Linked DNA regions of Arabidopsis thaliana. The protein of the gene in region 1 binds, or shares a complex with, the protein of each later gene. Each region holds a gene or a part of one and is shown on either strand. Other genes may lie near its edges. The genes, in order: AT1G15770, AT1G23230, RFR1 and AT5G63480.

What was found.
Region 2: AT1G15770 (region 1) and AT1G23230 share a complex: the UniProt entries of both Arabidopsis thaliana proteins name them as parts of the mediator complex.
Region 3: AT1G15770 (region 1) and RFR1 share a complex: the UniProt entries of both Arabidopsis thaliana proteins name them as parts of the mediator complex.
Region 4: AT1G15770 (region 1) and AT5G63480 share a complex: the UniProt entries of both Arabidopsis thaliana proteins name them as parts of the mediator complex.

Annotation. Positions count from the first base shown.
Region 1 is NC_003070.9:5,425,585-5,431,639, reverse strand, and holds AT1G15770 (mediator of RNA polymerase II transcription subunit), read left to right. Parts: upstream 1-3,359; 5' UTR 3,360-3,424; coding exon 3,425-3,511; intron 3,512-3,834; coding exon 3,835-4,344; intron 4,345-4,463; coding exon 4,464-4,748; 3' UTR 4,749-4,932; downstream 4,933-6,055. Other genes in the region: NRB4 (mediator of RNA polymerase II transcription subunit 15a-like protein), read left to right, coding at 1-283, 428-634, 729-1,118; AT1G15772 (mediator of RNA polymerase II transcription subunit), read left to right, coding at 2,408-2,455, 2,548-2,622, 2,706-2,939; AT1G15760 (Sterile alpha motif (SAM) domain-containing protein), read right to left, coding at 5,318-5,926. UniProt on the Arabidopsis thaliana protein: Component of the Mediator complex, a coactivator involved in the regulated transcription of nearly all RNA polymerase II-dependent genes.
Region 2 is NC_003070.9:8,242,601-8,252,443, forward strand, and holds AT1G23230 (mediator of RNA polymerase II transcription subunit), read left to right. Parts: upstream 1-1,839; 5' UTR 1,840-1,880; coding exon 1,881-1,988; intron 1,989-2,068; coding exon 2,069-2,112; intron 2,113-2,198; coding exon 2,199-2,298; intron 2,299-2,385; coding exon 2,386-3,324; intron 3,325-3,460; coding exon 3,461-3,703; intron 3,704-3,910; coding exon 3,911-4,180; intron 4,181-4,289; coding exon 4,290-4,491; intron 4,492-4,588; coding exon 4,589-4,860; intron 4,861-5,075; coding exon 5,076-5,159; intron 5,160-5,254; coding exon 5,255-5,349; intron 5,350-5,496; coding exon 5,497-5,659; intron 5,660-5,752; coding exon 5,753-6,169; intron 6,170-6,252; coding exon 6,253-6,366; intron 6,367-6,446; coding exon 6,447-6,572; intron 6,573-6,647; coding exon 6,648-6,796; intron 6,797-7,041; coding exon 7,042-7,282; intron 7,283-7,460; coding exon 7,461-8,247; intron 8,248-8,319; coding exon 8,320-8,501; intron 8,502-8,746; coding exon 8,747-8,850; intron 8,851-8,933; and 2 more. Other genes in the region: AT1G23220 (Dynein light chain type 1 family protein), read left to right, coding at 14-244, 1,378-1,536. UniProt on the Arabidopsis thaliana protein: Component of the Mediator complex, a coactivator involved in the regulated transcription of nearly all RNA polymerase II-dependent genes.
Region 3 is NC_003074.8:8,465,167-8,474,687, forward strand, and holds RFR1 (REF4-related 1), read left to right. Parts: upstream 1-2,231; 5' UTR 2,232-2,471; coding exon 2,472-2,746; intron 2,747-2,919; coding exon 2,920-3,030; intron 3,031-3,205; coding exon 3,206-3,550; intron 3,551-3,715; coding exon 3,716-4,035; intron 4,036-4,133; coding exon 4,134-4,225; intron 4,226-4,521; coding exon 4,522-4,834; intron 4,835-4,981; coding exon 4,982-5,192; intron 5,193-5,503; coding exon 5,504-5,618; intron 5,619-5,711; coding exon 5,712-5,873; intron 5,874-5,960; coding exon 5,961-6,618; intron 6,619-6,806; coding exon 6,807-7,013; intron 7,014-7,182; coding exon 7,183-8,303; 3' UTR 8,304-8,461; downstream 8,462-9,521. Other genes in the region: AT3G23600 (alpha/beta-Hydrolases superfamily protein), read left to right, coding at 8,667-8,814, 8,983-9,004, 9,354-9,480. UniProt on the Arabidopsis thaliana protein: Component of the Mediator complex, a coactivator involved in the regulated transcription of nearly all RNA polymerase II-dependent genes.
Region 4 is NC_003076.8:25,414,763-25,420,571, reverse strand, and holds AT5G63480 (mediator of RNA polymerase II transcription subunit), read right to left. Parts: upstream 3,324-5,809; 5' UTR 3,256-3,323; coding exon 2,878-3,255; intron 2,624-2,877; coding exon 2,531-2,623; intron 2,198-2,530; coding exon 2,099-2,197; 3' UTR 1,937-2,098; downstream 1-1,936. Other genes in the region: AT5G63490 (CBS / octicosapeptide/Phox/Bemp1 (PB1) domains-containing protein), read left to right, coding at 286-352, 480-585, 676-734, 843-952, 1,057-1,172, 1,254-1,339, 1,438-1,527, 1,665-1,856; NF-YC4 (nuclear factor Y, subunit C4), read left to right, coding at 3,488-4,240; AT5G63460 (SAP domain-containing protein), read left to right, coding at 5,173-5,286. UniProt on the Arabidopsis thaliana protein: Component of the Mediator complex, a coactivator involved in the regulated transcription of nearly all RNA polymerase II-dependent genes.

The DNA.
Region 1 (6,055 bases):
CATGGTTGATCGGATAGCTGGTTCAGCACCAGGAAACGGTTCAAGAGCTTCCGTTGGTGAAGACTTGGTTGCAATGACTAAGTGCCGTCTCCAAGCAAGAAACTTCATGACCCAAGAGGGAATGATGGCGACTAAGAAAATGAAGCGTCACACAACCGCAATGCCACTAAGCGTTGCTTCACTGGGAGGAAGTGTTGGTGATAACTACAAGCAGTTTGCTGGTTCAGAAACATCCGATCTAGAATCTACTGCGACTTCGGATGGCAAGAAGGCAAGAACTGAGGTATGATACTCAGTTAGACTTCCCCTAGCTATATTTGAATATTGACACACACTCACACACACACACACACACGTAACAAAGAAAATTTGGAAGCACAAGGTTTCGATATTCTTTTTTTTTTGAAGACTCAATCTTGAACTGCAGACCGAGCATGCCCTTTTGGAGGAAATAAAGGAAATAAACCAGCGGCTGATAGATACAGTTGTTGAGATAAGTGATGATGAAGATGCTGCTGATCCTAGTGAGGTTGCAATATCAAGCATAGGGTGTGAAGGAACAACAGTTAGATTCTCGTTTATAGCTGTTTCTCTCAGCCCAGCCTTGAAGGCTCATCTCTCATCAACACAAATGGTAAACATGGTCATCTCGTTAACATTAACGTTTTGTGAAACAAAATATTTCATTTATCCTTTTTTATAATATATGCTTTGTGCTTCTATTACAGTCTCCTATTCAACCATTGCGTCTGCTGGTTCCTTGTAGCTACCCCAATGGCTCTCCATCTCTTCTAGATAAACTCCCGGTCGAAACCAGGTACAAGCAAATCCTTCAGTCTCAAGTAAATAGAACCATAGATTTTCCGTACCGAGTCGAGCAAACTTCTACGATACAGTTAAAATCTTCACAAGAATCATCTACTAGAAACCCTTTATTAGAAACTGCGTTATCTTCTTACCGTAACACGGTCTGGTTTCTTGAACAGCAAAGAAAACGAGGACCTGTCGTCCAAAGCTATGGCAAGGTTCAACATATTGCTAAGAAGTTTGTCACAGCCGATGTCGCTCAAAGACATAGCCAAGACATGGGACGCCTGTGCTCGGGCAGTGATCTGTGAGTACGCACAGCAATTTGGCGGTGGAACTTTCAGCTCAAAATACGGCACTTGGGAGAAATATGTAGCAGCTTCCTGAATCTGACGGATCTCTCTCGTCTTCAATAGCAGCTCTGTGATTCACTTGCAGGTTCATGTCAAAACTAAAGAAAAAAAGCCAAAAAGTTTTTTCCTCACTTTTTGTTGTATAGTATAAGTTGTTTTCCCACACACGTGATTGGGATTTTTTGTTATCTGTTTGCAAAAGCTTATGCTATATTATTGAATATATTTAAATAATATTATTTTAACTTTATTGTATGTATTTTGTGAATCTTGTTAGTATATTCGTCATTTTCTTCTAATTCTGAAGTGCAATTACCCCTTTTTTGGGGTCTTGCTGAATGTTGTATTTTGAGATTTGTTGTAATACGCATTTTGAGATCGTTCAGAAGAGTTTCAACTTCTTTACTCTGTTCAGTTGTCACAATAAAATGGCTGTTTGAAACATTTTTTTTTTTTTGTATATACCAAATGGCTAACTTTTTTATTGTAATTATTGATGATTTATCATCATAAAGTCATCAAGTTAGAAGATACAAGGAGTGATCAGTGTGGTGTGTAATTGTCTATACAAATTAGTACATGAACGAGATTTATTTAGTTAATGACTATAATTAACATTTTGGTCACACAAATAGCCGGAGATTTCACTGGTTTTTCTACAAGTCTCTTTACTCGATTTTTAGCCTTTACTGTGTGAAATAGAAAACTTAAAAAAACTCCAAAAAACTTATTATTTGCAGAAGAGACTTGGGCCTGATAAGTACTTATTATTGGGTCATTGGGCCTCGCTTAATAACCTGATATTGTAATGTTGTTGAAGCCTTTTAATCCTTGTATTTAGCTCTCTCTTGTTTGTTTCTCTATAAAATCAAAAGATGATTAAAACAAAAACAATCATCTCTAATTCTTCTCCTTAACCCTAATTGCTACGTTTCACTTATTAAAAGAAAGATTGAAACGTAAGAACGTTTGGAGAAAAACCAAATCCAAACGGACCGTTCTAAGTCTCGGAGATTCATCGCCAAAAGGTCCTTATTTTGAGTCACCTATCTCATTACGTGTCATAGTAAACCCATGGATTCGTCGATAGCAAAACCTTTTGCATAAGAAACTAGTTTTATGGATTGATGATACTTGTGTACCTCTAATTTTAGGTTTTTGTATTTTTTTTTACACAGTTTCTGATGATGAATGAATCTCGCTTTTTAATTATTTTTCTTGGCTAGCAACACTAGATAGTAGATACAATGGAAAATGAAAATGGAGATGATTGGCGGGAGGAGGTTTTCCAAAAGGTAACTCATAAGTCATAATCATCATAATAATAAAACTCCTTTCTTAAATCATCATCGGGATCATTCATTGTGGTGTGTAATTGTTTATACAGCTTAGATCCATGAGAGAGCGTTATCTACCACATGTGACTGATGTTTACCAGAGACTTGCAGACAAGTTGAACCATGTAAGATGTAGTTACTGTCAACTATTAACTCTCTGCCTTAAGTTGTATAGATGTAGTAATACTAGTTTGTTTGTTTTTTTCAGGAGGAATCGCTTCCGCAGCAACAAAGATCAAAGCACTTTGACAAGTTCCAAAGCATGAAGACAAACATAGAGCAATTGATCCAAGTCCTATCTCTTCGAAAGAGAAATATCATGCCGATATTAAAGGATTGTAGATGGGACTATTATGAGAAACGGATTATATATTTCTTAATTACGCTAAGAACCGGCTGGGAAGACAGTACAGCAAAGGCAGCTTCAAGATCAGTCTCATAATAATCAAGGAAATGCATTGTAGATATTTTGTCTCTCTCTCTTTTTATGTTGGTCTTCTCTCTTCTGATGTGTTTTGAACTCTCATCCTCAATGTTGTTGACTCCGGTGCTCTGTTTCTACCAGGCTCCTCCTATCAAGTTATGATCGAAAAATGAATAAAGACCCTTTTTTTTTTTGTAAATGTTAATTTCTCGGAGATTAGGTGTGTTTTTGGTGGGTGCTTTAGTGTTCCGTCAACTAGTAGGGTAGGGTTTGGTTTCTTATTGAATTCATGCAGAATTCTTTTACCCATCAACAGAGATTAAAGCAATTTGAGAGATTGAAGGCAATGTTGGAGCGAAGAATGATACAATTCCTATCTGTTTCAAAGAAGCAATGTCATGCCTTACTTGAAAGATTACTACGACAACCAGATTATTCCTTTGTTACTAGCAGGATCATCTCTCTGTTACTAGATGATATCACCATGATGAGTAATCGTATGTATGATTATATTGCTTTTCTTTGTAGATCAAATCCATCAAAGAGACCTCAATGAAATCTACCAGAGAGTAGCAGCCAAGTTGCAGCAAGTAAGTTACAGTTTTCATTCTTCCTAGGAAGTTAGTTTGCACGTGTACGTCCTCTGGAACAGTACTAAGTACTTTATGAAGAGTTTTACAAATTCAATGCAAGATCAGTTCATTGTTACAAATGAAAGTCCTACAACTTAGGATTCTTGTTACCCATTTAACAAAGTAAAAGGTTCGTCAGACTCTTATACTTACAGATAGTTCACTAGAAGTTAACCTTCTGACAGATATATTCCTTCCCAAACCTACAGAGGTTGTAAACTTTTAACGTTCATCTATATGTTTGTTTCTTTTCTACTGAATACGTTCCGTTTTCTCTCTAGGAGGATTCTCTTTCGCATCAGAAACAAAGATCAGATCAGTTTGAGAAATTGAAACGAGGCAAGACAGTGTTGGAGGGAATGCTACGTTTCCTATCTCTTTCAAAGAGCAATATCAAACCTGACTTGAAGGATAGTATGGATTATCGCAAGAACAACATTATGAATTTCTTAAATATGCAGAGTCTGAGGAAGACAGTACAGAAACTGCAGCTTACGAAATCTGAGATTCAGCCTATGCAGCAACCACTATCTCAGACAGTTCAAGATCAGTCTCATGATGACCAAACAACTCTGCAGATGCAATCAATGAGCATGCAGGGTGCTGGGTCAAGGGTACAACAGATCAGGCAAGGTGTACTTCAATCCCTTGAAATTGGCACTCCAGGGATCTCTGCCTCTCCTCTCCTTCCGGAGCTTACCAGTCCTGATGGAAATATTATAAATCCTTTGACAAGTACTTGTGGAAAATCGAGTGCTACTGAGCTGCCTATTGAACGCCTTATTAGAGCCGTAAGTAACGTTACTAATTTTGAAGGGTATATTGCAACAGGGCAGTGTCATTGCTGCCATCCCTCATTTGCCGTGGAAACATTGTTCTGATCTTGATGTTTGCTTTCTGTTGTTTTCAGATGAAATCCATCTCACCACAAGCGCTTTCGTCTGCAGTATGTGATATTAGATCTGTTGTAAGCATGGTTGATAGGATTGCTGGTTCAGTACCAGGCAAAGGTTCAAGAGCTTCATTTGGTGTGGACTTGGTTGCAATGACTAAGTGCCATCTCCAAGAAAGAAACTTCATGACGCAAGATGGCGACCATGAAAAGGAAGCGTCAGACAACCCCAATGCCATCAAGTGTTGCTTCATTGGGAGGAAAGCGTTGGTAATAGCTACAAGCATTTTGCTGGTTTGGTAACATCAGATATGGAATCTACTGTGACTTGTGGTGGCAAGAAGCCAAGAACTGAGGTATGGTTTTCAGTTACACTTCCCTTAGGTATATCTGAAAATTGACACACACACAACAGATAAAATTTGGAAGCACAATGTTTTGTGTGCTCTAGTGTAGACTGTGTAGTGTCCTGAGCTCAAGATCTTTCCGATTACCTCAAGAGTAAGATCACTCCGGCAGGCTTAGCGTCATGGTTATGTGTGTAAACAGAGCATTTTTTGAGAAAAGAGTAAAAAGTGATAAAAGCTGTAAAGAAGTTTTGACTGGAACAGAGACTTAGGCCAAAAGCAAAGACTGGAGAGACAGACTCATTACAATGACCCCACACACTCACATACACACCTGACACCACCACTCAACTCTATTTTCCAATTGTTAACTAACAAAAATTAACTAGCCTAATCACATACAAAGACAAAATCAAGAAAACATGGTGGAAGAACCCTAAAACCTCATCTCTCACCATCAATTCTGATATAAAGAACGAAGAAGAAGCTGAAAGAGAAAACATAAAACAGAACTTAGAGATTTTTCTAAGTAGGTTTGAGATTCTGAAACATTGAATCCCATTTGATATCTTCAAAATAAGTATCTTGAGCGTAAAGTTTCTCATCCTTGAAACTGTAATCGAAAACCATGGGACTTGAGAAGCTATCGATTCTACAAGGAGTCCCATTGGTCAACAACAACCTCTCTTGCTTCTCCAATCCACCATTTCCATTGCTCGGCATCACAGATCTCTTGTTCCTCTTCAGGAATCCACCTCTCCACTTCCCAATCCCGTTGCTAGTCTTCTTCGGCACCAACACCAGAGCTCGAGACGACGCCGACTCTTCTTCACGGCGGATCCAGGCGCGTACGTGATCGGATAAACATTTCCTGGTTTTCTTAATCGCAGTCACGACTCTGGAGATGGAACGAGAGGTGAGAGGAGGAGAGTTCTTGCGATCTCGACGAGCGAGTTTGAGAATCTCGAGACGGTGTTTGGCGATAGAGATTCCCATGCTCTGGAGAAATTCGTGGTCGAAGTAAGAAATGTCTTCGTGTTCGAGCTCGTTCTGAGAGAAGGAGAGGCCGTATTCGTGGATGAGAGAAGGTTCAAGGTTTGTTCTAGAGAGCCATGAAAACCACCAATCTTCCATTGAAGAAGGTTTATGTTTGTTTGTGTTTGTGTGGGAGATGATGTATATATAGAGGAAAAGTGAGTGGGGGGCTTTTTTGACTTTTGTGCAAGTAGCGGGCTTCGTCGTTAAGGTAGTTGAGACGTAAAG
Region 2 (9,843 bases), 2.8 Mb from region 1:
TGATGTGATAGAGATGGAAGGAGTTGAGCTAGAATTAGAAAGAAGAAGCAAGTTCTTGAACAGTTTGATACAGAAGAAGAAGGCTAAAGAACAGCAAGATCAGAAAGATGAGTTCAATGTTCGTGTTAGGGCTTCAGATATGCCTTTGCCTCAACAGAACAGAGCCTTTAGTTTGTCGCGTGAGATTTTGAATGCTACTCCAGGGAAGGCTGATAACAAAAGACTCGCTCATGCCCTAAAAAAGGTTAGATCTTTTGTATCTCTCTCATGATTTTTCTGTATTTGGGTTGAATTGGAGTCATTGAAGTCTAGTACTTGGATTGAGTTTTGAATTTTGACACAGAATCTAAAAGTATTGAGCTGCTTTTGGGTTCTAGGGCTACGTCTCAAAGTCGCATGCTTTTTGTAGAATGTGGTTATGGTCTTCTCTTTCTTGATTGGTTTGAAGATGTGATGAATCTTGAATTTGGATTTTCGTTTGTGTACTTGCATATTGTTGAACTTCATGGATGGTCCCATATTTGTTAGGTTGCATTTGACTTTGTTCCATTGTTGTTGTCTTTTCTATTTGTAGCTTCGGTTAGTCTACTTGACTAGGTTGTTTTTGTATTGCGAGGATAACTGTAGTAGGAGTCTCGTTGTGAAATGTCTTGAAACTGGATGTTCTTGTTGTTTATTGAGATGATTTTGGAGCTGTCTTAGGCCATAACTAATGAGGCATAGCATGCACCATCTGCTAAGCTTCTGTATCTTTGCTGTTAGAAATTAGTTGCTACCTAATGATAACTCTGAAGCATGCTTGCTTTAGGAAGTGAGCCTTGCCTGAATACAACCTTTTACAAAGGACTTGGTTCGACACCCCATATATAGAGTTGTCCATTTATGCAGTTGTTTCTCGTGAGGATATTGTTCCTTCTTAAAGCGGCTTTGATAATTAGCTTTTGATTTTAACTTATGGAGCGAAATGGAGCAGTTCCCTCAATTTATGCGACTAGGTAGAGGCATTGATTGATCCATACATTGATTTTATGAAGTGGTTGAGTAAAACAATTTAGTGTTCACTTATCTGTGTGCAGCTTACTTGTTTGTCTCAGTGTTCATCAATCTCTTAATAATGGCTACCTCCCTTTGGCTTTTAGGATTGACATACGAGTCAATTTCTGCTGTTGTCTTGTTTTATCTTCTTGTTCTGGTAATATAGATCTCTTATCTCGAAATAGATCTTCATATGTTTCTTGTCTCTATGTTTTCTCCTAAATCCAGCTTCTATGTTATCCACTGAAGTGAATCTTAGACTCCCATCTGTCTAATGACATGTTGCAGCTGATTTAAAACTATATATTCACGAAACAGTTTTCCATCTGTCTTCCATTTCAGGACTTCGATTCAGCCTACGGCCCGGCATGGCACTGCATTGTTGGAACAAGCTTTGGTTCATACGTGACTCATTCCACAGGAGGATTCCTATATTTTCAGATCGACAAAGTTTACGTTCTTCTCTTCAAGACTGCCGTGGAGCCGTTAGATCAAAAATGAGATAAAACGTTGATGATCAGAGCATCTTCAATTTAATCCTTTTCTTTTAGAATTCTCTGTCTTGTATCCCACAATGTAATTCTGCCTAAGACAAAATCTTTGTGGCTCCTATTGTGTAATTAGAAGTCATCTTCTCTACTGTGAATCGTTTCAACTTCACAATGCAAAATATTGTTCTTCTCTTTCTCAAATTCTAATTTTGTTTTTTTCGTTGTTGTGTTGTTGTTGTTGTTGACATTTTCTTCTCTTCAAAAGAGCTTTAAACCCAAAACCTCTAATACCAATTTTGCTCCTCCGTTTTATAAGCATCAAAGAAAAAAAGAATCAGTGAAGAAGAAAAAAAAATGGATCAATCGCAGCGAACAGTCGCTGCAACGCCATCGTCTTCTCGATCGTACCAATTCCACCCAGCTCGTGCTGCAATTATCGATCTTTTCAATCTCTACTTAGGGGTTGGTTAATCTCTTCTCCAATCTCCCAATTTTTTTCATCGAATTTTGTTTCTCTGCTGATTTTGCTTTCTCTATCACAGAGAGGAAGCCGTCAAAAGCCTGATGAGTCCCTCCGAGATCCCCCGTATGTTGTTTCTATTGATTCTGAATCAACTCTTGTTTTCTCTTCCTTCTGTGTTTGATTTTATCCATGTTGATTGTTTTGATCAGGAACAAATCACAGAAGCGTGTTCATGCTCCTAATAGAGACTTACCACCAAGAAACGAGCAATTCCTTTTGGATTTTGAGCTGCTTCAGAGCCAATTCAATGTAAAGTCTCGTTTTTTAACTATCTTTATCTTTCTCTTTGTGATTTCGTAAGATAAAGTTTTTTTTTTTTTTCCAACTCTTTGTTAGGATCCAGAGCAATTGAGGACGATTACTGAGTCAGTTTTGATATCTCTGGTGGTGCAATGTAGCAATCATGCGCCTCGTGCTGAGTTTCTACTCTTTGCTTTGCGTACATTGTGTAGGATTAGTTATATCAATTGGGATACTTTTTTACCATCCCTTCTCTCTTCCGTTTCCGCTGCTGAGGCGTCGTTAAGCCAAGGTGTTCAAGCAGCAGCGGCAACGGCTGGTTCTTCTGCTACTTCTTCGCAGTCTGTAGTTCCTGTGTCTGTGAATCCAACGTCATTGCTGCCTTCAGCTCATGGTATTGGTTCTCCATCAGCTTCAGAGGTGAAATCTGTGGAGAATGGGCAGCAGATTGCAAGAGCTGGCCAGATTGTAAGAGAGAATGCTATGAGAAATAGTCAACGGATTAGAGCTGCTGCTGTAAACAGTCTGCGTCAGCTCAGTTGCAAGATTATCTTGATTGGCGTTGAATCTAGTCTCAAACCCGTTACTCATGCCGAGATTTTCCAGTACATGATGAATTGGCTTGTTAACTGGGACAGGAGAGATCTGGGAACTGAGGACTCTGTAGGAAAGTCGTGGAGATCTGAGAAGACTTTAGCTGAATGGTTGCGGAGTTGTTTGGATGTGATCTGGCTGTTGGTAGAAGAGGGTGAATCTCGAATTCCGTTTTATGAGTTATTGCGCAGTGGTCTACAGTTTATAGAGAACATACCTGATGATGAAGCCTTGTTCACTCTTATCATGGAGATACACCGGAGGCGAGATGCGATGGCCATGCATATGCTCATGTTGGACCAACATCTTCACTGTCCATCATTTGGTACCCATCGTATAGTCTCCCAAATAACTGCCAATGTTCCACCCGAAGCTGTGCCACACTTACGACATTCACCAATTACATATCCAAGTGTGCTTGGGGAACCTTTATATGGAGAGGTGATTCCTATGAAATTGTGGAGATTGGTTTCATAGCTTAGTTGGCTCTTGTTGATATTGTGTAATGTATACGCTTTTCATTAGGCAGACAATTTGTGAATTTCAATCCTCTCTTCTTCTTTTTCGACACCGGCAGGATCTGGCGATGTCTATTCCAAAAGGAAGCCTGGATTGGGAGAGAGCAGTGCGTTGCATTAGACATGCTATTCGCACTACACCGTCACCGGACTGGTGGAAGCGTGTTCTTGTTGTGGCCCCTTGTTATAGACCATCTACACAAGCAGGGCCTATCCCTGGTGCTGTATTCACTTCTGACATGATTTGTGAGGCAATCATTGACAGAATTGTTGAGCTTCTTAAGCTGACCAACTCAGGCAATGTTTGTCTTTCCCTATTTCTCATGTCTTTGATCTGTCACTTCCATTTAAATCTGTGGAAATTATTTTGAAATAGCAAGTGGTTTTGCTAGTCGTCACAATCTGTAAAGAACCTACATCCTTTACGTTTTATTCTAGTTCTATAATCGTTGATTCGTTAGGCTTAGATAGAAAAGATAAAAGTAAGAGTTGAGATACCATTATACTAGGATTGCTTTGGTATTGATTTGGTATCTGTTACTTTTCCCCCTCTCTATGCAGATGCAAATTGCTGGCAAGAGTGGCTGGTTTTCTCGGATATATTCTTCTTTCTAATCAAAAGTGGGTGTACTGATTTTGTTGATTTCATTGACAAGTTGGTTTTACGCCTTAACGGTGTTGATAACCATATTCTTCGGACGAATCATGTGACTTGGCTGCTTGCACAAATAATACGCGTGGAGCTTGTGATGACTGCTTTGAACTCAGATGCTAAAAAGGTCGTTACTCAATTACAATGATATGTTTGCAGCTGCAATGCAATTACTTGTACTTCTTTTTCGGCGAATTTAACATCCCAATTTGTGCTCTATTTGGGTTTTCTCTCAGGTGGAGACTACTAGGAAGATCTTATCATTTCACAGGGAAGACAGAAATTCTGATCCCAACAATCCTCAGAGTGTGTTGCTTGACTTCGTAAGCAGTTGTCAGAATCTACGGATTTGGTCACTAAGCACAACAACTAGGGCATACCTAAACAATGAACAGCTGTTGAAGGGAAAACAGATCGATGAGTGGTGGAGAAGCAAAGGTACATAAGGTTTCAATGGCAGGGCTTAGACTAGGAAGCAGAGAATCCCGATTATAAAAAGCATCCTCTCATTCTGTTTCTTGTTTGGGGTTGTCAGGAGAGCGGATGATGGATTATATGAATATGGATGATAGGTCGATTGGCATGTTTTGGGTTGTTTCCTACACCATGGCACAACCAGCATGTGAAACAGTTATAAATTGGCTATCTTCAGCTGGCATGGCTGAGTTACCGGGATTACAGCCAAACGACCGAGTAATGATGACGCAGGAAGTTACCCCGTTACCTATGTCATTGCTATCTGGCTTTTCAATGAATTTGTGCTTGAAATTGGCCCTTCAGATGGAAGAAGCTTTGTTTGTTAGCCAGGTTTGTTTCCTTTGTCTCACAAAGATATTATATATGTTAATTGATACACTGATCTATGAAGAACATCTTCTTTGGTCATTTTTACTTAGTGACCTATTTTCTCCACGGTTTAGTAAAACAACTTTAGCGTTTTACTTGTTTAAAAATGTTAATAGTAGATTTTAAAAAACCTGAGAAAAATGAATTTAGTGTCGTAGTAAAACATCTGAGTGCAGGTTGTTCCTAGCATTGCAATGGTTGAGACATACACAAGATTGCTTCTGATTTCCCCTCATTCGATGTTCCGTTCACATTTCAGTGTAAGCTATTTGGTTCCTTCTGTTACCTTTTGACTTTCATTATCTTATGTTTTATTGATCATAAGCGATTCATAAGATTAGCTAACTTTCTGTAGCAATTGGCCCAGCGAAATGCTTCTCTGCTAAGCAAGCCTGGAGTGACGTTACTTGTTCTTGAGATTCTGAACTATCGGTTGCTGCCACTCTACAGGTAAAACGAGCGAAAAGTTCTCAAGTTGGAGTAGATCCTTCTTTATGTTTTAACTGGGTCATTCTTTTAGTTAGATGACAATTGTTTCGGGCTTTCGCCATATTGGCTGTTAGACCCGACTAAACAAAATTACTGATCTTATTGCAGATACCAAGGAAAGAGTAAAACTTTAATGTATGATGTTACTAAAATAATATCTGCATTGAAAGGAAAACGTGGTGACCACCGTATATTCAGACTAGCTGAAAACTTATGCATGAATCTCATTTTATCACTCAGAGACTTTTTCTCTGTGAAACGGGAGGGAAAAGTAAGTGGTGTTTTCGAATTACTCACTGTCCCCCTTCTTATTTTGTGCCTGGATCTCAGGTGTAAATAATTGTTCTTATGTTATCATCACTAGGGGCCAACTGAATTCACTGAGACGTTAAATCGCATAACCATCATGACTCTTGCTATCACTATCAAAACACGTGGTATCGCAGACCCTGATCACATGGTTTATCTGCAAACCATGTTGGAACAAATACTCGCGACGAGTCAGCATACATGGTCAGAGAAGACGATGCGGCATTTCCCATCCCTTCTCCGTGAAACTTTGAAAGGACGGGTAGACAAGAGGGGCCTATCAATTCAGGCATGGCAACAGGCTGAAACAACTGTGATAAACCAGTGCACTCAACTTCTCTCACCATCTGCTGAACCCGCTTACGTTTCAACATACCTCAGTCACAGTTTTCCTCAACACCGTCAGTATCTATGTGCTGGTGCTTGTCTGCTGATGCAAGGCCACGCTGAAAACATCAACAGCACAAATCTGGTTTGCTTTGCTTAGTCTATTCATAATTGTGAAATGATTGTTTGTTGATAGTGGTATGATTTTCTCTTCCAAATGATTATCAGGCACGAGTTCTGAGAGAAGTTTCTCCTGAAGAAGTCACTGCTAACATATACACTTTGGTCGATGTTTTGCTTCACCACGTTCATGTAGACCTTCAGCAAGGACAATCTCTAGAGGTTTCTGTCTGCCAGAAGAGATTAACCTCACTTTTCGTTGCTTGATCCATCTTCTTACATTGCATCGTAATATTTTTTAGGCAGTTCTAGACAAGGCAGGCGCAAATCTTGCATTTTTCTTCTGGACACATGAAATGCTTCCTCTCGACATTTTTCTTTTGGCGCTCATTGACCGTGATGATGATCCTCACGCCTTGATAATTGCAGTATGTTCATGCTTTTACGTAAAAGAAGCTTAACATCATAGAAATTTTACAGTGTTGTTTTCAATTTATTTACAGATGAGCCTACTTAAAACGCCAGACCTTCTGCTGAGGATAAAAAACTACTGCCAAAACCGTGGGTCTCCTGAGCACTGGCTTGTCACACAGGTGTTCAAACGCAATGAACTCCAGAAGGCCCTGGGTAACCATCTTTCTTGGAAGGACAGGTAATATATCCAATTCAACATCAGTGTAACTGATTTCTAACAACAATTTCACTTAAGTACATGGCTTTGATTGTTTGATTGGTTTTGTTGGCATCCAACCATAAATGTGTGATGGAACCTTCCATGAAAACTTGTGTATGACTAGGAAATAGTTGAATTTTGGTTTGATCTGTTTTAATTTTGGTGTTGGATTCTGCTAAAGTTGGGTAAATGTTTTACCTATTTTTTTATTGTGTTAAACGCAGGTATCCAACGTTCTTTGATGATATTGCAGCGCGTTTGCTTCCAGTTATCCCTCTAGTGCTTTACAGGCTCATCGAGAACAATGCGATGGAGCAAGCTGATAATCTTTTGCTTGCACACTCGCATTTTCTAGCGTATCATCCTCTCAGATTCACGTTTGTCCGTGATATACTAGCCTATTTCTATGGCCATCTTCCTGGGAAACTTGTTCTGCGCATGCTCAAAGTACTTGATCTCAGCAAGGTAATTGAAAACAATTCCCGATCTTACATTGATTCTGAAATTGACCTCAAGTTGATGCCGCTTTTGGATTTTAGTTTAGAGATTTTGTTTCTCACCAATTTATCTAGATACCTTTGTCCGTAATCGTTTCCACATTCGATTAAAATGGAACGTAACAAATCTTTTGACATTTCCGCAGATTCCATTCTCTGAATCATTCCCGCAGTACATTAGCCCTACCGGTGCACCTGTATGCCCACCTCTAGATTACTTTGCCTCTCTTCTGCTTAATCTCGTAAACAATGTTATACCTCCACTTAGCAGCAGCAGCAACTGCAGCTCGAGGTCTGGCTCAATGGCAGACATCTTAAACAGCTCAGCAAGACCTCCTCATGGAAAAACTCCAGGAACATCTCAGCCTGGACCAGCAAACGCCTCTGAGGGCCAGAAAGCATTCTATCAGATCCAGGACCCAGGAACTTACACGCAACTGGTTCTTGAGACAGCCGTGATCGAGATCCTCTCGCTTCCTGTCTCTGCTGCTCAGATTGTCTCTTCGCTTGTCCAGATAATTGTCAACATACAATCGACTCTGATTCAATCTGGAAACGGGTTCCACGGCGCTGCCAACGGGGTGGGACAAGGGTCGGTACTGCCAACGTCTCCCTCTGGAGGGAGCACAGACTCCATGAGCGCTAGCCGGTCCACTTGTCTGATTCCTGGTATCAACACAGCGAGCTTTGTCTCTAGAAGCGGTTATACATGTCAGCAACTGTCGTGTCTGTTGATTCAAGCTTGTGGACTTCTGTTGGCTCAGCTCCCTCCAGATTTTCACGTACAGCTTTACTTGGAGGCAGCACGTGTGACAAGGGAAACATGGTGGCTTAAGGACGGGAAGAGATCACAAGGTGAACTAGACTCAGCTGTTGGATACGCTTTGATGGATCCTACATGGGCTGCTCAGGATAACACCTCGACCGCCATAGGTACGCTATAGTTTCTGGATCTAGAAGTGAAATGTTTGTTTGGATTTTGTTTTTACATGTGTCTTCTTCCAGGAAATATTGTCGCCTTGCTTCATGCTTTCTTCAGCAATCTCCCACAAGAATGGCTTGATGGCACGAATGCTATCATCACGAACCTCCGGCCTGTGACATCTGTGGCAATGCTCAGAGTTGTATTCCGTATCATGGGGCCACTGCTTCCGAGGCTTGCCAGTACACATACTCTCTTTAACAAGGTACTCTTATGGCTTGTATCCATATGAAGTGGTCAGTCTTTTCAAGTATATGCTTGTGAGAGTTACCGTGTGACGTTCTGCTCATGTTAAATTTAATATCAAAGGCTGGATAGAATTTGAATATTATGTAGTTGCCATCGTCTAGCATGTTAATTCCTAGTCTCTCGAGTACACAACATAAATGAAATGATCTTCAATGGTTTCTTGTAGTTTTACTTTGGTGTTCATTTTTTGTTTCTCAACAGACGCTAATGCTTCTCTTAAGCGCACTGGTCGATGTTTTTGGAAAGACCGCACAGACAACAGCCCCTGTTGAAGCATCCCAGATTGCAGATCTTATTGATTTCCTGTAAGCTTCTATTATATTACCATAGCAAAACATGGATTCACTATTGTCGTTGTTGATTAACAATCACATAACTGTTGTTGCAGACACCATATTATTCACTACGAGGGACAAGGAGGAGCTGTTCAAACTAGCAGCAAGCCGAGACCGGACATCTTGGCGTTAATCGGAAGAGCAGCAGAGACTCTCCGACCAGATGTACAACACCTTCTCGCTCACCTCAAAACCAACCCGAATTCTTCCATATACGCAGCTGCTCATCAGCAGAATACTGCAAAGACTAACACCTCTTAATAAACACCCAGATGATAATGTGTGTCCGTAGAGCAATAGAAGCACAAAAGATTCTTCCATCTACAACATGTTCTGGTAAATTGGGTTCATGGTTACAACTTGTTTTGTATATATGTCAATGGTAACATTATGTTTCTCTTATTTATGAAATTTAGAATTTAAATTATCATTAGATGATGAAACAGGCTTATTCAACCAGGTATTTCAGATGAAGTATATTTCGATTAGTGTTTTAAATTTTATTGACTTTTTTTGTCGATCTCTTTTTTTTTTTGTCGTAATATCAACCGGTATTAATTGATATTCCGAAAAAAATTAAGAAATTAAAAGAAACAATATATAAGGACCATTTGAACCTATATAAAAATCTTATGCATATTTTATAATAAATTGATCCATTTGCGCATGCTAAAACGTGTCATGAGACATTACCTTTGGACTTAGGAGAAACCGAGTAAGGCTAATGAGTCGTGAGAAAGATATCAGAGATGGAGAGAAACACAGAACAATGAAGTTAGCACAAGCTTTCTTATTACTTTAGGATCATTCTTTTGGGGTTTATATAAACAAATAAAGTATCGAAGAAGCCGTTAATTATTTTCTTGTTTACCTTTTTTTCTTTTGTTAGGTGTTGTGTTAGTTATACAGACTTATACATAAACAAAAGATTTGATCCAAAATAAAGTGGATAGATGTTTGTGT
Region 3 (9,521 bases), on another chromosome or scaffold:
TGAATTGAGCTTTGAATACTATGGTTAATATGGATGAAAGAAAACACACGTTCCTACTAATTTCTTTTTCTAAATGATGACGTTTTCTCAAGTTACTTATCGTAGTCTAATCGGTTATTGACAAAAATGATCTAGACGTTTGAAAATCATTGGCCAACCTCTTCACTAGATAGAATTTTTATTTCTAACCATTACCTACCTGATACACACACCAAGTTCTGAATCTAGAGATGATCTTGTCTCATTTGTTTATAGACTAAAGAGTATATAAAAGCTGGATTCATGTGGGTCATCCATCATTAATCGTGTTCTTCAATTCACCAACTTCGTAGGTTCCGCATCTTTTGTACTTTCTTTCTATTTTTAATCTTGCAATATCAAAAATAAATATATACACCTTTTAAAAAAATTCTGAATATGCATATGGTAATGGTATCATCAGAAAACATTGAATATTGAATCGTCTATCTACCAATCTCTTCAAGTTGTGAATTTTATTTATCAAAAAAAAAAAAAAAATCAACTGAAACGTCAATGTTATGTTTTGCTTCAATCTAAAGAAAGTTGTACCAAAAATAAAGTACTTTTTTACCAAGAAATTTCGGATTGTAGCCAAAATATGTCTTGTTTTATTTTTTTTGTTCACCAAAAATATGTTAAACTAGTTTTTTGACTTTTTCCCCCATGCGTTGTTGTTGTTATTCGGACGACCAATATTTAATACAGTATTCAAGTGTAGCTAAGCTACTGATTCCAGATAAAGTAAAAAAATGTCTTTGATACCAACTTCACTTTGACCAATTATCGAACTCTTTAATTTCATAATATATAGCTTTGACAAATATCCCATCAGAATTCATAAATCGCCACATGAATCTTATAATTGTCAACTATGTGCAGTCCAATATTAATATCATGGAAAACTAGATTACTAGCATTTAATTTCTTAATTGTATTTAGGTTATAGACTTAACATGGTTTTTCTTCTAGAGCATTTTCACTACATTTTTTTCTTTCTATGTTATTATTTTATGTTTTACTTATTGTTACATCCATTTACAACGATGTTGGATAAAATATTTTTAACTGTTCAGTCCGTAAATGACTAGCTAAATTTTTACGGATATATTTTTACATAAAAAAAGAAATTATTTTTACGATTTACCAATTTAACTCTTCTTTCTCTCTAAGTTTTCATTTATTAAAAATGATAGTTTTTTTAAGAAAGTTATTTGTATTTATTTATTTAAAATTGGATGCAAAAAATTACAAAACTTGGAAGAAATATTGTTAACCCATCTTTATCAGTATAGAATTTCTGATTACTCCCTGCGTTGAAAATAAGAAGATCCATAGAACGTGGTAATGTTTTTTTTTTTTTTTTTCTGGCAAGAAATGGTAATGTTAATCAATTAGACTCATGACTAAAGCTGGAAAATTTGACTAAAATGGTATTATCTTGCATTATTACCTAAAAGCTCTTCTTGCATTACTCTTTCATGCAAAATTGCCTCCAAAAGTCATACTTCGAAATCATGGCTTTGTAACTCACCCTTGCCACCATCTATCTAAACTTATTATTGTTTAAAACAAAATTGATTTTCAAAGAAAAAAAAAATATAAACTCCCACCGGTCAATAACTTTTAATTTTCACTTCAATTATTCATAAAATAAATATATACACCTTGATTCTTTCTTAATAACTGGAGTTATTTTGAATTTAAATTACTTTTGAAATACAAAAGAAAGTAAGATAATTTTGCCATTTAAAATGTCTACAACAATTATGTTAACACTTAACATACATTTTTAGAACCAAATGGTAATGGTCCACTAGTTAAAAGATTTCTTATGAATGTCTTTTTATGCAGAGTTCGAATTTTCTCACAACGATTTTAACCATTTTCGTCACTCGCAAAATTTTTAGTGGATAACAAAAAAAAAAAAAAGTTGAAATTTAATGGAAATTTAGGAGATTTGTCCAATTTTTAATTTTCCCGATTAATTTAAAAAATCTACTTTACGCCTTTTATTGACAAAGATGCATATTAACTATATATATATATATATATATATATATATATATATATATATATTATAAACTAAATTTTGTAGAACCCATCAGAAGAAATTTGTACTTTTAACTTTAAAATCAATTAAAAAATTTCAATTCAAATAAAAAAAAATCCAAAATTGTTTATAAATTCAAGAAATATAACACACAAGTTGACATAAACAGTGGAGAGATTTGTGAAATGTGAACTCTTTTGACGTCTTTCTCATATTTCGTCTCGGGACAATTCACACGCACTGAATCATCTCTCTCACGAGGACTATTCAGCCATTTGCAAACGCACACACAAACGCACACGCGTTTATTTTTTTTTCGCCAAATCAAATCTGAAGAGTTCCTGTATCTTTTAACCGCTCTTCTTCTTCTTCAGAGAGCTTCGTTGATTGAACGGAAAAAATGGTGGTTCCTGGACGGAGAACCGTCTGGGATTGTGTGATTGAGCTGACAAAGATGGCTCAAGAGAACTGTGTCGATCCTCGTCTTTGGGCTTCTCAGTTATCATCGAATTTGAAATTCTTCGCCGTGGAGTTACCGTCGACGGAGCTTGCGGAGGTTATTGTTTCGTACATTTGTTGGGATAATAACGTTCCTATTGTTTGGAAGTTTCTTGAAAGAGCTATGGCTTTGAAGCTTGTTTCTCCTCTCGTTGTTCTTGCTCTTCTCGCTGACAGGTCTGGATTCATCGCTCATGGATTGTTTCCTTAGGGTTCTATGTGTTGATGATTTATTTCGTAATTTGGATTGTGAGTTGGTGAATTATAGTTTGGAAAATCTCTACGATTTTGTGATGGATCTTAGATTTGGTTTTATCTTATTGTAGTTCTATGTTTTCTGATTGTTGCAGAGTTGTTCCAACCCGGTCTACGCAACAAGCAGCTTATAGAATTTACTTGGAGCTGCTCAAGAGAAATATGTTCACCATTAAAGATCATATTAGTGGACCTCACTACCAGAAGTGAGTTTTTTTTTGTTGATACTTCTTACTTACTGTTTCATTCAAATGCTTGGCTCTGTAGGAAAAATGTTAGTAAATGTATGTTTCCATTAACATTGTACTCAGAAGTAGAATTAGAGAATACAAAATACTGTTTTGGCTTACTTGGTATTTATCTTCCTTCTTCTTTGTACAGGGTCATGATTTCAGTATCCAATATTCTTCGTCTTTCAGAGTTATTTGATCTGGACACAAGCAAACCTGGTGTGCTTTTAGTAGAGTTTGTTTTTAAGATGGTGTCACAATTGCTAGATGCAGCGTTAAGTGATGAAGGTTTGCTAGAGCTAAGCCAAGACTCGAGCTCCCAGTGGCTAGTTAAGTCTCAAGATATGGAAATTGATGCTCCTGAGAGATATAATGAAAAGACTGGATCACTAGAGAAGTTACAGAGTTTGAATACCATCATGGCTATTGAGTTGATAGCGGAATTCCTCAGAAATACAGTGATTGCGAGATTGCTATACTTGGTATCTTCCAACAGGTATGCATCATAGTTAACGAGAGTAAAGTTTTTTCAGTGGCATCATAGTTATGTTGTTCTTTGCATTGGCAGATATTTTGCTTAATCATGACCTGAATTTGACAAGTAATGTCTCTGTAGTAAAGTGTTTTTCTTTTAATCCATTTGCTATCCATTTCTTTTCAGGGCTTCGAAGTGGCATGAATTTGTCCAGAAAGTGCAGCTTCTTGGAGAAAATTCATCGGCTTTAAAACACTCAAAGGTTCTAAATTCTGGGGATCTATTACAATTGATTTCGAATAGACGATTTGGGTATTCTTATGATAGCAAAGTAACTTCAGCACGGAAATCCAATGCAATTGTGGATTTTGGATCTCTCTCTTCCTATGCTGGCTTATGCCATGGAGCAAGTCTCTCTTCACTTTGGCTTCCTCTTGATCTAGTATTTGAAGATGCAATGGATGGATATCAAGTAAACCCAACTAGTGCGATTGAAATCATTACCGGTAATTTGTAGACTCCATCTTCTTTCACTTGTGGCTTTGACCAAAGAAAAGATATCTCAAATATATAACGAAATGACTTGGGAGTATTAAATTTTCAGGTCTAGCTAAAACACTTAAAGAAATTAATGGGAGCACTTGGCATGACACTTTCTTGGGGCTTTGGATAGCAGCTCTCCGACTTGTTCAAAGGGTTAGATTACTCTCTTACTGATCTTTCTGTTTGTGATTTCACCACTACTTTGGTACCCAGAAAAGTGCAATTGCTATTGCTTGCAAGTTTTACTTACACCGTGTGCTTTTGTAATTGGTTCTGTTATTTGGTTATAATTCCCAAGACTTTTGTTACCTGCAGTTTCAGAGGACTTTCTTACACACTTTCTCTTGACTGAAGCTGTACTATTTGATTGTTACTCTGTCATCCATGATAAGTTTAGATTTTCCGTATCTAATGGCTGTTCTGATTTTCTCGTTTTTCTTTATTACTAGGAAAGGGATCCTATTGAGGGACCTATTCCTCGACTGGACACAAGGCTGTGCATGTCATTATGTATTGTGCCTCTTGTGGTCGCAAACCTTATTGAAGAGGGGAAATACGAATCTGTCATGGAAAAGCTGCGAGATGACCTTGTTACAAGTTTGCAGGTCCTCGGTGATTTCCCTGGATTGCTGGCTCCTCCCAAATGCGTTGTTTCTGCTGCCAACAAGGCTGCCACAAAGGCAATCTTGTTTTTGTCTGGTGGCAATGTTGGAAAGTCATGTTTTGATGTCATAAACATGAAGGACATGCCTGTCAACTGCTGTAAGTTTAATAAAATTTCGCTCTATTGAATTGAAGTTAAACCAATTTGTTTGTCTTCGTATTCTTCATTATTGTCGCTTGATTGTCTTCATTTGTTGATTTTATGGGCCTCTTTCGTGCCTAACATACTTTATGTACATGCCGTAGCTGGAAACATGCGCCACCTGATAGTCGAGGCTTGTATTGCAAGAAACATACTGGATATGTCGGCTTATTCGTGGCCTGGCTATGTTAATGGCCGAATCAACCAAATACCTCAGAGTCTGCCGAATGAAGTACCCTGCTGGTCATCATTTGTGAAAGGGGCTCCACTAAATGCCGCAATGGTGAATACATTAGTTTCAGTTCCTGCTTCAAGGTAGAATGAGTTATTATCTTCTTTTTGTTTCTTTTTGCTCTATTAGCTCCACACTACTTCATCCACATAGTCTTCCCTCCAAATCATACAGTCAGTGGTAATTTAAAATTACTATACAAAATTAAGCTACGGAGTTTCAAAGTCGTAACCTAAGGAAACCATTGCCACAATGAGAATAGTGGTTGCATTCTAGTTTGACTTAAGTTCTGCTTCTTCTTCAGTTATTCCTTTTTGTTTCTTAGCCAGGTAATGCTCTTTTTTTAATTTACCGAGAGTAAAGCAACTGAAATACCTCATGGATTTGATGGAAGCTTAGCAGAGCTCGAGAAACTATTTGAGGTTGCAGTCAAAGGATCGGATGACGAGAAGATATCTGCTGCTACAGTTCTTTGCGGGGCATCTCTCACACGGGGTTGGAACATACAGGTTGGCATTAAATCCACTAATCAGAATCTCCACCAGTGAGAATTTTCGGTTGAACAGACATGTTTGATTTATCTATCTTTCTTCGATGTACAGGAACACACTGTTGAATATCTTACAAGATTACTATCCCCACCCGTTCCAGCAGATTATTCCAGGGCTGAAAATCATTTGATTGGTTATGCCTGCATGTTGAATGTTGTTATTGTTGGGATAGGATCTGTTGACAGCATTCAAATTTTCTCTTTACATGGCATGGTATGTAAATTGTACTTCCAAGTTTACTAGACTTAATAGTGAATTTGCTGAAAGATGTAATGTACGATTTTGATGGCTACTTTTTAGGTTCCGCAACTTGCTTGCTCACTAATGCCAATTTGTGAAGAGTTTGGATCTTACACCCCGAGTGTATCATGGACTCTTCCTTCTGGAGAAGCAATATCAGCATATTCTGTTTTCTCAAATGCATTCACTCTTCTTTTAAAGCTATGGAGATTCAATCATCCTCCTATTGAGCATGGTGTGGGAGATGTTCCCACAGTTGGCTCCCAACTCACTCCTGAACATCTTCTTTCAGTGCGTAATTCTTATCTTGTTTCGTCGGAGATCCTTGATAGAGACCGAAACAGAAAGAGACTTTCAGAAGTTGCAAGGGCAGCATCTTGCCAGCCCGTGTTTGTGGACTCGTTCCCCAAGCTGAAAGTCTGGTATAGGCAGCACCAAAGATGCATAGCAGCCACATTATCTGGACTTACACATGGATCTCCCGTTCATCAGACAGTTGAAGCACTTCTCAACATGACGTTCGGAAAGGTCAGAGGCAGTCAGACTTTAAATCCAGTAAATTCGGGCACAAGCAGTTCATCAGGAGCTGCAAGTGAAGATAGCAATATTAGACCTGAGTTTCCTGCTTGGGATATCCTCAAAGCCGTTCCATATGTTGTCGATGCTGCTTTAACCGCTTGTACTCATGGAAGGCTTTCGCCTCGTCAGTTAGCTACAGGTTTGTTTTGTTTTGCTGGATCAGATTCCTAATTGTGTTGTCATGTGCGATAACATCCGTCTATATGACCTTTGGCAACTCTGAATGCCAATGAGAGATGTTTGACTGTGTTGATCAGTTGTTATATCAGATGCATTTCTTACAGTAAAGTGAATTTATTTACAGAATAACAAGTGTTTTTCTTTCAGGGCTGAAAGACTTAGCAGATTTTCTCCCGGCATCATTAGCAACGATAGTAAGCTATTTCTCAGCTGAGGTGAGTAGAGGTGTTTGGAAGCCAGTATTCATGAACGGCGTGGATTGGCCAAGTCCAGCTACAAATCTATCCACTGTTGAGGAATATATAACGAAAATTCTTGCAACAACAGGCGTCGATATCCCTAGCCTTGCTCCAGGTAAAACTATTCAACGTGTTTAAAATGCCAGTCTGTTTGTTTGGCTTACCATCTCTGTAGTCTGTACCATCCTCTCTTTATAATAAGCTTTTTACCTGTCCTGATTTGATGTGTTAAAGTTAAAGTTGTCTTTTGAACTTATGGTTGACTTCTTGCTGTGGTATTGCAGGAGGGAGTTCTCCGGCAACGCTTCCTTTACCTCTAGCCGCATTTGTTAGTCTAACCATTACTTACAAAATTGACAAAGCCTCAGAGCGGTTTCTCAACCTGGCTGGCCCAGCTCTGGAGTGCTTGGCTGCAGGCTGCCCTTGGCCTTGCATGCCCATTGTAGCTTCATTATGGACCCAAAAGGCGAAACGTTGGTTTGACTTCCTTGTTTTCTCTGCCTCTCGCACCGTCTTCCTTCACAACCAAGACGCTGTGATTCAGCTCCTCAGAAACTGCTTCAGTGCCACTCTGGGTTTGAATGCTGCCCCCATGTCAAATGATGGTGGCGTTGGAGCTCTTCTTGGCCATGGATTCGGCTCTCATTTCTATGGAGGGATCTCTCCTGTAGCACCAGGGATTCTTTATCTCCGTATGTATCGTGCTCTCAGAGATACTGTCTCCGTATCGGAAGAGATTCTCTCTCTGCTGATACATTCGGTGGAGGATATAGCCCAGAACAGGCTCTCAAAGGAGAAGCTGGAAAAGCTGAAGACAGTGAAGAACGGATCAAGATACGGCCAAAGTTCTCTAGCAACAGCAATGACTCAAGTGAAGCTTGCTGCTTCGCTGAGTGCCTCGTTGGTATGGCTAACCGGTGGCTTAGGTGTGGTCCACGTTCTCATCAAAGAAACGATCCCATCTTGGTTTCTATCAACTGACAAATCAGACCGAGAACAAGGACCATCGGATCTAGTTGCAGAGCTAAGAGGTCATGCCCTTGCCTACTTTGTGGTCCTATGTGGAGCACTTACTTGGGGCGTGGATTCAAGATCATCTGCATCCAAACGCCGCCGCCAAGCAATCTTGGGAAGCCACTTGGAGTTCATCGCGAGTGCCTTAGATGGGAAAATATCAGTGGGATGTGAAACAGCAACTTGGCGAACATATATTTCCGGTTTGGTGAGTCTAATGGTGAGCTGTTTGCCGCTCTGGGTGACAGAGATCGATACAGAAGTGTTAAAGAGTCTAAGCAATGGACTAAGAAAATGGGGAAAAGACGAGCTAGCGATTGTATTACTCTCCTTGGGAGGTCTCAAAACAATGGATTACGCAGCTGATTTCATCATTCATTTGCGTTCATAGCTTCTTAAAAAGTTTTGATCTTCTCCAGATTTCAGATAGTTGTTTGATAGATGTTTTTCTTCTAGTGTTTGCTTCCTTGTTGTGACTTGTGTTCTCTAGCTCCAGTGTTGTGTGATGAAATCAATCACGCATATGTATAGAGAGAAACAGAAAAAAAAAAAAAAAAAAAAAAAAAAAAAATCTTGTATAGAAAATATTAGTGTACTATTCTAGACCGTTAGATGGATTAGTGTTCTATTTGGAACCGTTAGATGACTCTCCGTTGATTAGTTGGTCACAAGTCACAACAACATGTTAAAAGAAAACGAATGATTGAGTTTGGTTTCTTTGTATCATCTCTCTGTTTTTCCGAAGAACTAACACATGTCGGGACCTCAGTGCTGTGAAAACCCGCCAACTCTTAACCCGGTTTCCGGGTCGGGTCATGTCGAGAAGCTGGGTGGGCTTGATGCCTACGTCTCCGGCTCTGCCGAGTCCAAGCTCTGCGTCCTCCTCATTTCTGATATTTTTGGTAAAATACTCTTCTTTCTTTGCTTTGATCTGTTTTGACTTTCTTTGTTTTAGTTGAAATATGATCGGAGTAATTAGGGTTTTTGTTTTTCTCTTTTTGGATCCGTTTTGTTGATTTGATCATTGCATCATTGTTGACTCTGACTTTAGGTACGTTTTTGTTCTTCAGGTTTTGAAGCTCCAAACTTAAGGTACTACTACTAATTCTTCCCTCTTCATCGATTCAACCATTAAAAATGGAATCTTTAACTTGGGTTTGTTTCTTTGAAGGAATTAGATAGTATTTAGTAGCCACATATGAGGTCTAGTTAGAATTTTCATTTGAGCCTGCAAATAGTTTTGTTGGTTTTGGATTATGTACAAGATGAAGCATACCTATCATGTGTCTTTAAGTTGACTTGTCTTTTCTGAACTCATTTGATAAGATCTAAATGTTTAATTTGAATCATTGCTTTGATTGCATTGCATTATCTCAAGTTTATCTTGTACAACTATGGAGGAATGTTTATGGAGTGTTAAGTCTTAATTTTATGTCTTAAGGGCGCTTGCGGACAAGGTTGCAGCTTCTGGATTCTATGTTGTGGTTCCTGATTACTTTGGTGGAGATCCTTATAATCCCTCTAACCAGGACAGACCCATCCCTGTCTGGATCAAAGACCATGGCTGTGTTCGTTCCTCCTCCTCTCCTCCTTATAATAACTGTCCTAT
Region 4 (5,809 bases), on another chromosome or scaffold:
ATAGATCCTGAAAGCCTTACATCCATCCTCATTAATCGGCTAAAGTGTTTCTCCTAAATTTCATTCTGATACTATAATATTAGTTTACTGATAGGACTATTTACTTCTGCAAAGACCCTTACATGAACTAGAACAGGTCAATTTGTTCTAGAGAACCACATTTACCAAATGAAATTTGTTCTAACGAACTTATTAGATAGATTATGCGTTGGCTAAACTCTTCTGTCTTTCTTTTTGAATATATTATCACTAACTTTCAAGAGTTCTGTTTTTTCATTTATCTAGTTCCAAGGATATACTGATGCGGGTTGTGGCTGAAAATCTTCCTCCATCTGAGACTCTAGTGGAAACGGTAAGATTAAAAGATTAGTCTCCAGGGTCTTGTATTATTCAACCATCTTAGACTCTTATTTCCAGCTTAGTGATAGTTGCTCCTTTTTCCTGAATTTAACCATTTGTTCGTATTCATTAATGCATAGGTTATGACTCAGAATCCAGAATCTACGATAGTTGACACACCAATTGTTGAAGCTCTACACATCATGCACGAGGGAAAATTCTTACACCTTCCCGTTACTGACAAAGGTGAGAATTCTGAAACCTTTTCAATTGTAAAGTCTTACAAAAACTAAAAAGGCAAACGCATGTAAACCATAAATGGGTTTCTGATTGCAGAAGGAGATGTAGTTGCTGTTGTCGATGTAATCCATGTCACTCACGCTGCTGTTGCCACAGTAACTCCCATCTCTTGAACCGTCTGTAAATTTTTTCGTTTAGAACATCCACTGTTCTCTTTTTTCTAGATACATGTTTCAATCTTGTAGTTATTTTGATGTGTTCAGGCTGGAACTACTGCGGGAATAGGTAATGAGGCGACAAACACAATGATGCAAAAGTTTTGGGATTCAGCTATGGCATTGTCTCCTAATGAGGACGATGAGGACTCGAGAAGGTTATTAGCTAGTCTTACTTGTTCCACTATTTATCGAGTTTCTTTTCAAAGAAAGCTTTGGTTTTGCTGACTTTGTTGACAACATGGGGAACAATTTGTTTCAGTGAGAGCTCCATGAAGGTTGCTTCCGAAGCTGAGACAGGAAAATCTTTCCCTTTTGCAAATACATTTTCTTTCAAAATTGAAGACAAAAAGCACAGGAAACACAGATTCATAAGCGGTAAAAATAATTTTGATTTTTATTCATCAAGTAAATAGTTGTAGTCTTGCTTTTACTTAACTGAATTGGTTCTTTTTGCAGACACTCGGAGTTTGACAGAGGTGATAACCGCGATCATTCAGAGGGTAGGGGATGATATCGATCCAGATAACTTCCCCCAAATTTTGGTAAATATTTTCTTTTACATAAAGACTATGATGCAATCATTATCTAATTCTTCTCTTGTCACCCCCTGAATTGTTAAAATGATGGTTATAATGTGCAGTATGAAGATGAAGACCACGATAAAGTGTTGTTGGCTTCAGATAGTGACCTTCAAGCAGCCATAGAGCATGCAAAATCAATTGGCTGGAAGGTAAAAAGAACGATTTCCTCCTGCTTTAAACTTTTGGTTGATAAGCAACAAGAACCAAAGTCGAAGATGAAACCTTCATGAGATTGCCCATAAACCCCTTTTGCTTTCTGAATTGATTTGATCATTATAAATTGCAGAGTCTGAGATTACATTTGGATGATTCAAGAGAAGGCAAAGGAAGAAGAAGGAGAAGAGCATCAGGATCAGCAGAATCAATGGAGTATGTAGAGACAGACGCTTGGGCTGCTGCTTATAGTGGAGTTGCGGCTGGTGCAGCATTAGTAGCTGGTCTTGGTTTTATGGCTTTTCTCAGAAAATTCGGTCATTGATTCCTCAGAAACACTACAAGAAGTGTTTCTTTAACAGATCAATACAAACAAAAAAGAAAAACAGACACAGGGTTTGAAGGTTTTGTCTGAAATATTTTTATATACAAAAGTCATTTTTGATTATTTTTTTGGCTTCATGATATCAAAATAACAAATATCTAAAACTAATACATGGAGTAATTCAAGAACAAGGCTTAGAATCTTTGTCTAAACTGATCTCACTATTGTCAAAAAAATAAAACTCAAACAGAACAAGGGCTTTGCCATGTAGAGATATCTGCTATAAGTTCCCGAAGTTTATCTATAAGTTCTTTAACATGAACATTCTTCTTTGCAATCTCCTGCATGAACAAAAGCTTCCGTTTATTAATGCCAACAGAGAAGAACAATATAATCACTTCCCATAAGGTTATTAACATAGAAATCAAAATGACCAGATGGCTGAAATGTATTCAAAAAATTATCAACATTTCCATGGTTCTAGAACCGCTTAAGCTATAATGATACAAACACTTACACTAGACAGTGGGAAAGAACACTTTATACAAGAAAATATGAATCAAATTCAATGCTATGTGAGTTGAAATGTACAGAGAATTCGAGACTGAATAGTGTATCAATGTAGTAACATCAGATTGAAAACAAAGAGATGTAGAAATTGCAGAAAGCTTTACCATTCTGAGACTTAAGGCTTGCTCCTCCAATTTTTCGATCTCGTCTTCACTTTCAGGAGATCCTAAACCATTTTGCATTTCAGATGCTTTTGCCTGTAATAGATGAACAAATTCAAATTTATGAAACCTCAAAAAAGCTCTCATTTAAAATTAAGCAAGTTCACTACAAGTGAAGAACAAGACACTCAACAAGCATTAGATCCTTCATCTAAACTCTCTATCGATTCGAAGATTTCCTAATCTAAGATCTCAAAACACCCTAGGAATTCAAAATTTCCTCAGTCCAGAAACAACTCAGAACAAAACACTTCTCGAAATAGTTAGTAACATCACATTATGTTCAATACCTTCTGCGAATTTGGAATCGCAGCAAGAACAGCACGAAGCGAAGTCACTGAGTTCTTATACCGAAGACTCGCCTCATCCAAAACACTATTTCCACTTCCTCCGCCCCCGCCACCACCAGCAGATTCCGAATGATGCGATGTTCCATCAATCGCAGCCGCATCGGCGGAAACGAGAGCCGAACCATTAGAACCCGTCGTCGTCGCGGCGGAACTCGGGGTAGCTGAAGTAGACCACAAAGACGGATTACAAAGCTCATCATTCATGGCTGAAATTATCTGAAACGCCGCTTCAATAGTTTCTTCCAATTGCTTCTCTCCTTCCATCGCTAGCTCCTGTGTCGTCATCGTCGTCGTCGTCGAGACCTGTTTCTGCAGCATCACCGTGAACACACTTTATCACGGCGTCGGTTGACTAAACTATTAATACGATGTCGTTTTAATCAAACTATATAATATATATATCAATAATATAGTTTTTATAGATAAATAAAAATAGAAAGAAATCAGCTACATCGCTGTCTACCTTATCCACTATTACTCCAATCCATATGACAAAAACTATCTAAAACGTTAGTTTGATCTTTTGATCCAATCACAAGGCAAAGATCCAATGGACAATAACAACAACAACAACAACCAGCAACCACCACCAACCTCCGTCTATCCACCTGGCTCCGCCGTCACAACCGTAATCCCTCCTCCACCATCTGGATCTGCATCAATAGTCACCGGAGGAGGAGCGACATACCACCACCTCCTCCAGCAACAACAGCAACAGCTTCAAATGTTCTGGACATACCAGAGACAAGAGATCGAACAGGTAAACGATTTCAAAAACCATCAGCTCCCTCTAGCTCGTATCAAAAAAATCATGAAAGCTGATGAAGATGTGCGTATGATCTCCGCCGAAGCACCGATTCTCTTCGCGAAAGCTTGTGAGCTTTTCATTCTCGAACTTACGATTAGATCTTGGCTTCACGCTGAAGAGAACAAACGTCGTACGCTTCAGAAAAACGATATCGCTGCTGCGATTACTAGAACCGATATCTTCGATTTCCTTGTTGATATTGTTCCTAGGGAAGAGATCAAGGAAGAGGAAGATGCAGCATCGGCTCTTGGTGGAGGAGGTATGGTTGCTCCCGCCGCGAGCGGTGTTCCTTATTATTATCCACCGATGGGACAACCGGCGGTTCCTGGAGGGATGATGATTGGAAGACCGGCGATGGATCCTAGCGGTGTTTATGCTCAGCCTCCTTCTCAGGCATGGCAAAGCGTTTGGCAGAATTCAGCTGGTGGTGGTGATGATGTGTCTTATGGAAGTGGAGGAAGTAGCGGCCATGGTAATCTCGATAGCCAAGGGTAAGTGAATTCTAGTAATATTCAGCAATGTAGCTTGTTGCAATTGATTATCTATGGTTATTGAGATTCTTCATGAGCTTGCTTTGATTAGTCTTAGAGGAATTTGCTGCTCTGTGTCATCTTCATTGATTCTCATCAAATAAGCTAAAAATTGATAATATCAAAGAAGCTCAATTTACAGTATCATCTGGCTCATTTCTTTAGATTCATAAACAAAACTTTGTAAAATACACAATTTTGATATCCATTATTTGATTTGACTCACACCTTTGATTATTTGTACAATGTTGTGCAGTTGAGCTATGGAACCAGAAGCTTAGAGATTTAATCATCATTTCGACCCTGCAAGTGTCTGATTCTTATATGTCTATGATTCGAATGACTTACTCGAGAGAGAGAGAGAGATCAAACAAAACAAAACAAAAAAGCTCTTTTTCATTTTTCCTGTTAACTTATAAGTTATTGCAGCAAAACTGCAGACTTGCTTAACTATATATTAATCTAAATGTGCAGATTCTAATCTATGCTTTGTATTTTTGTTGATTCTTGCTCCTAATCTAGTAATGATCAGAGCTTATGTATGGCATATTGAGTTTGTATTTCATGGCTTGTAGTAGCTTTGAGTTCTCTGTCTCTTATAATAACTTCTTACTTAATCATCTTAAGGCCTGATAAGGCCTATATATTAGCTTTGAATAGACCACGTTTTAACATGTATATATAAATTATATTAAGGCCCATATATTAACTTCTTACTTAATCATCTTAAGGCCTAATAAGGCCCATATCTTTCTCCAATAGACGCAATCGGACGGTGACCATCTCTGTGCCGCTTTGTTCCTAAACGATTTTCTGTCTGTTCTCTCTTTGCTCTCTCGCCCTCTCTTGCTCTTCTGGGTTCGTCTTCCTCGGCTAGGGTTTATCAGTGGTTTGTCAATGGAGGCTTCATCATCTCAACCATCCGATTCTTCTGATCAAACTGCTTCCAAGTTCCTTTCTGACCTCCCGTCTCGAGGTTTCTTGTCTTCTACCGTCGTCTCTTCCAATCCGGTAACTTTTCTAACCCATTCCCGCCTTTTTTGTTTTCTAAGGTCTATTATGGATTCCGAATTTTGAAATTTTGGGTTTTTCAAAGTGATTAGCTTTTTGTATGCGTCTTCAATTCTTCAAAGTGATCTTGATTGTAGTTCCAGATCGTTGAAATTTGGGTAGAATTAAATCAGAGAAAATCTTGTCTGAATTGTAATTTTGATTTTAGGTTTAGGTTCCACACTTTGTGCCTATAGGCTCAAAGTTTCTGCTTTTTACTTTGAATTTTACCATTTACTATAAATGCTTGAAGCTTTGAGATTTGTGATCAAATTGTGTAATGATAATTACAAGAGTTCACTTATAATATACTGCTTCAGTTCATGACAATTGATCTTGTTAATTACTTTAGTAACGTTGGCAAGCGACTGCTTTGAATCCATGTGTTGCTGTCAAAAGCTGGATTTAGTAATGCGTAGCTCTTATTTCCAATCATATTGGAGTTTTATTACAATTTATTTTCTTATAAGATCATTCAGTTCTA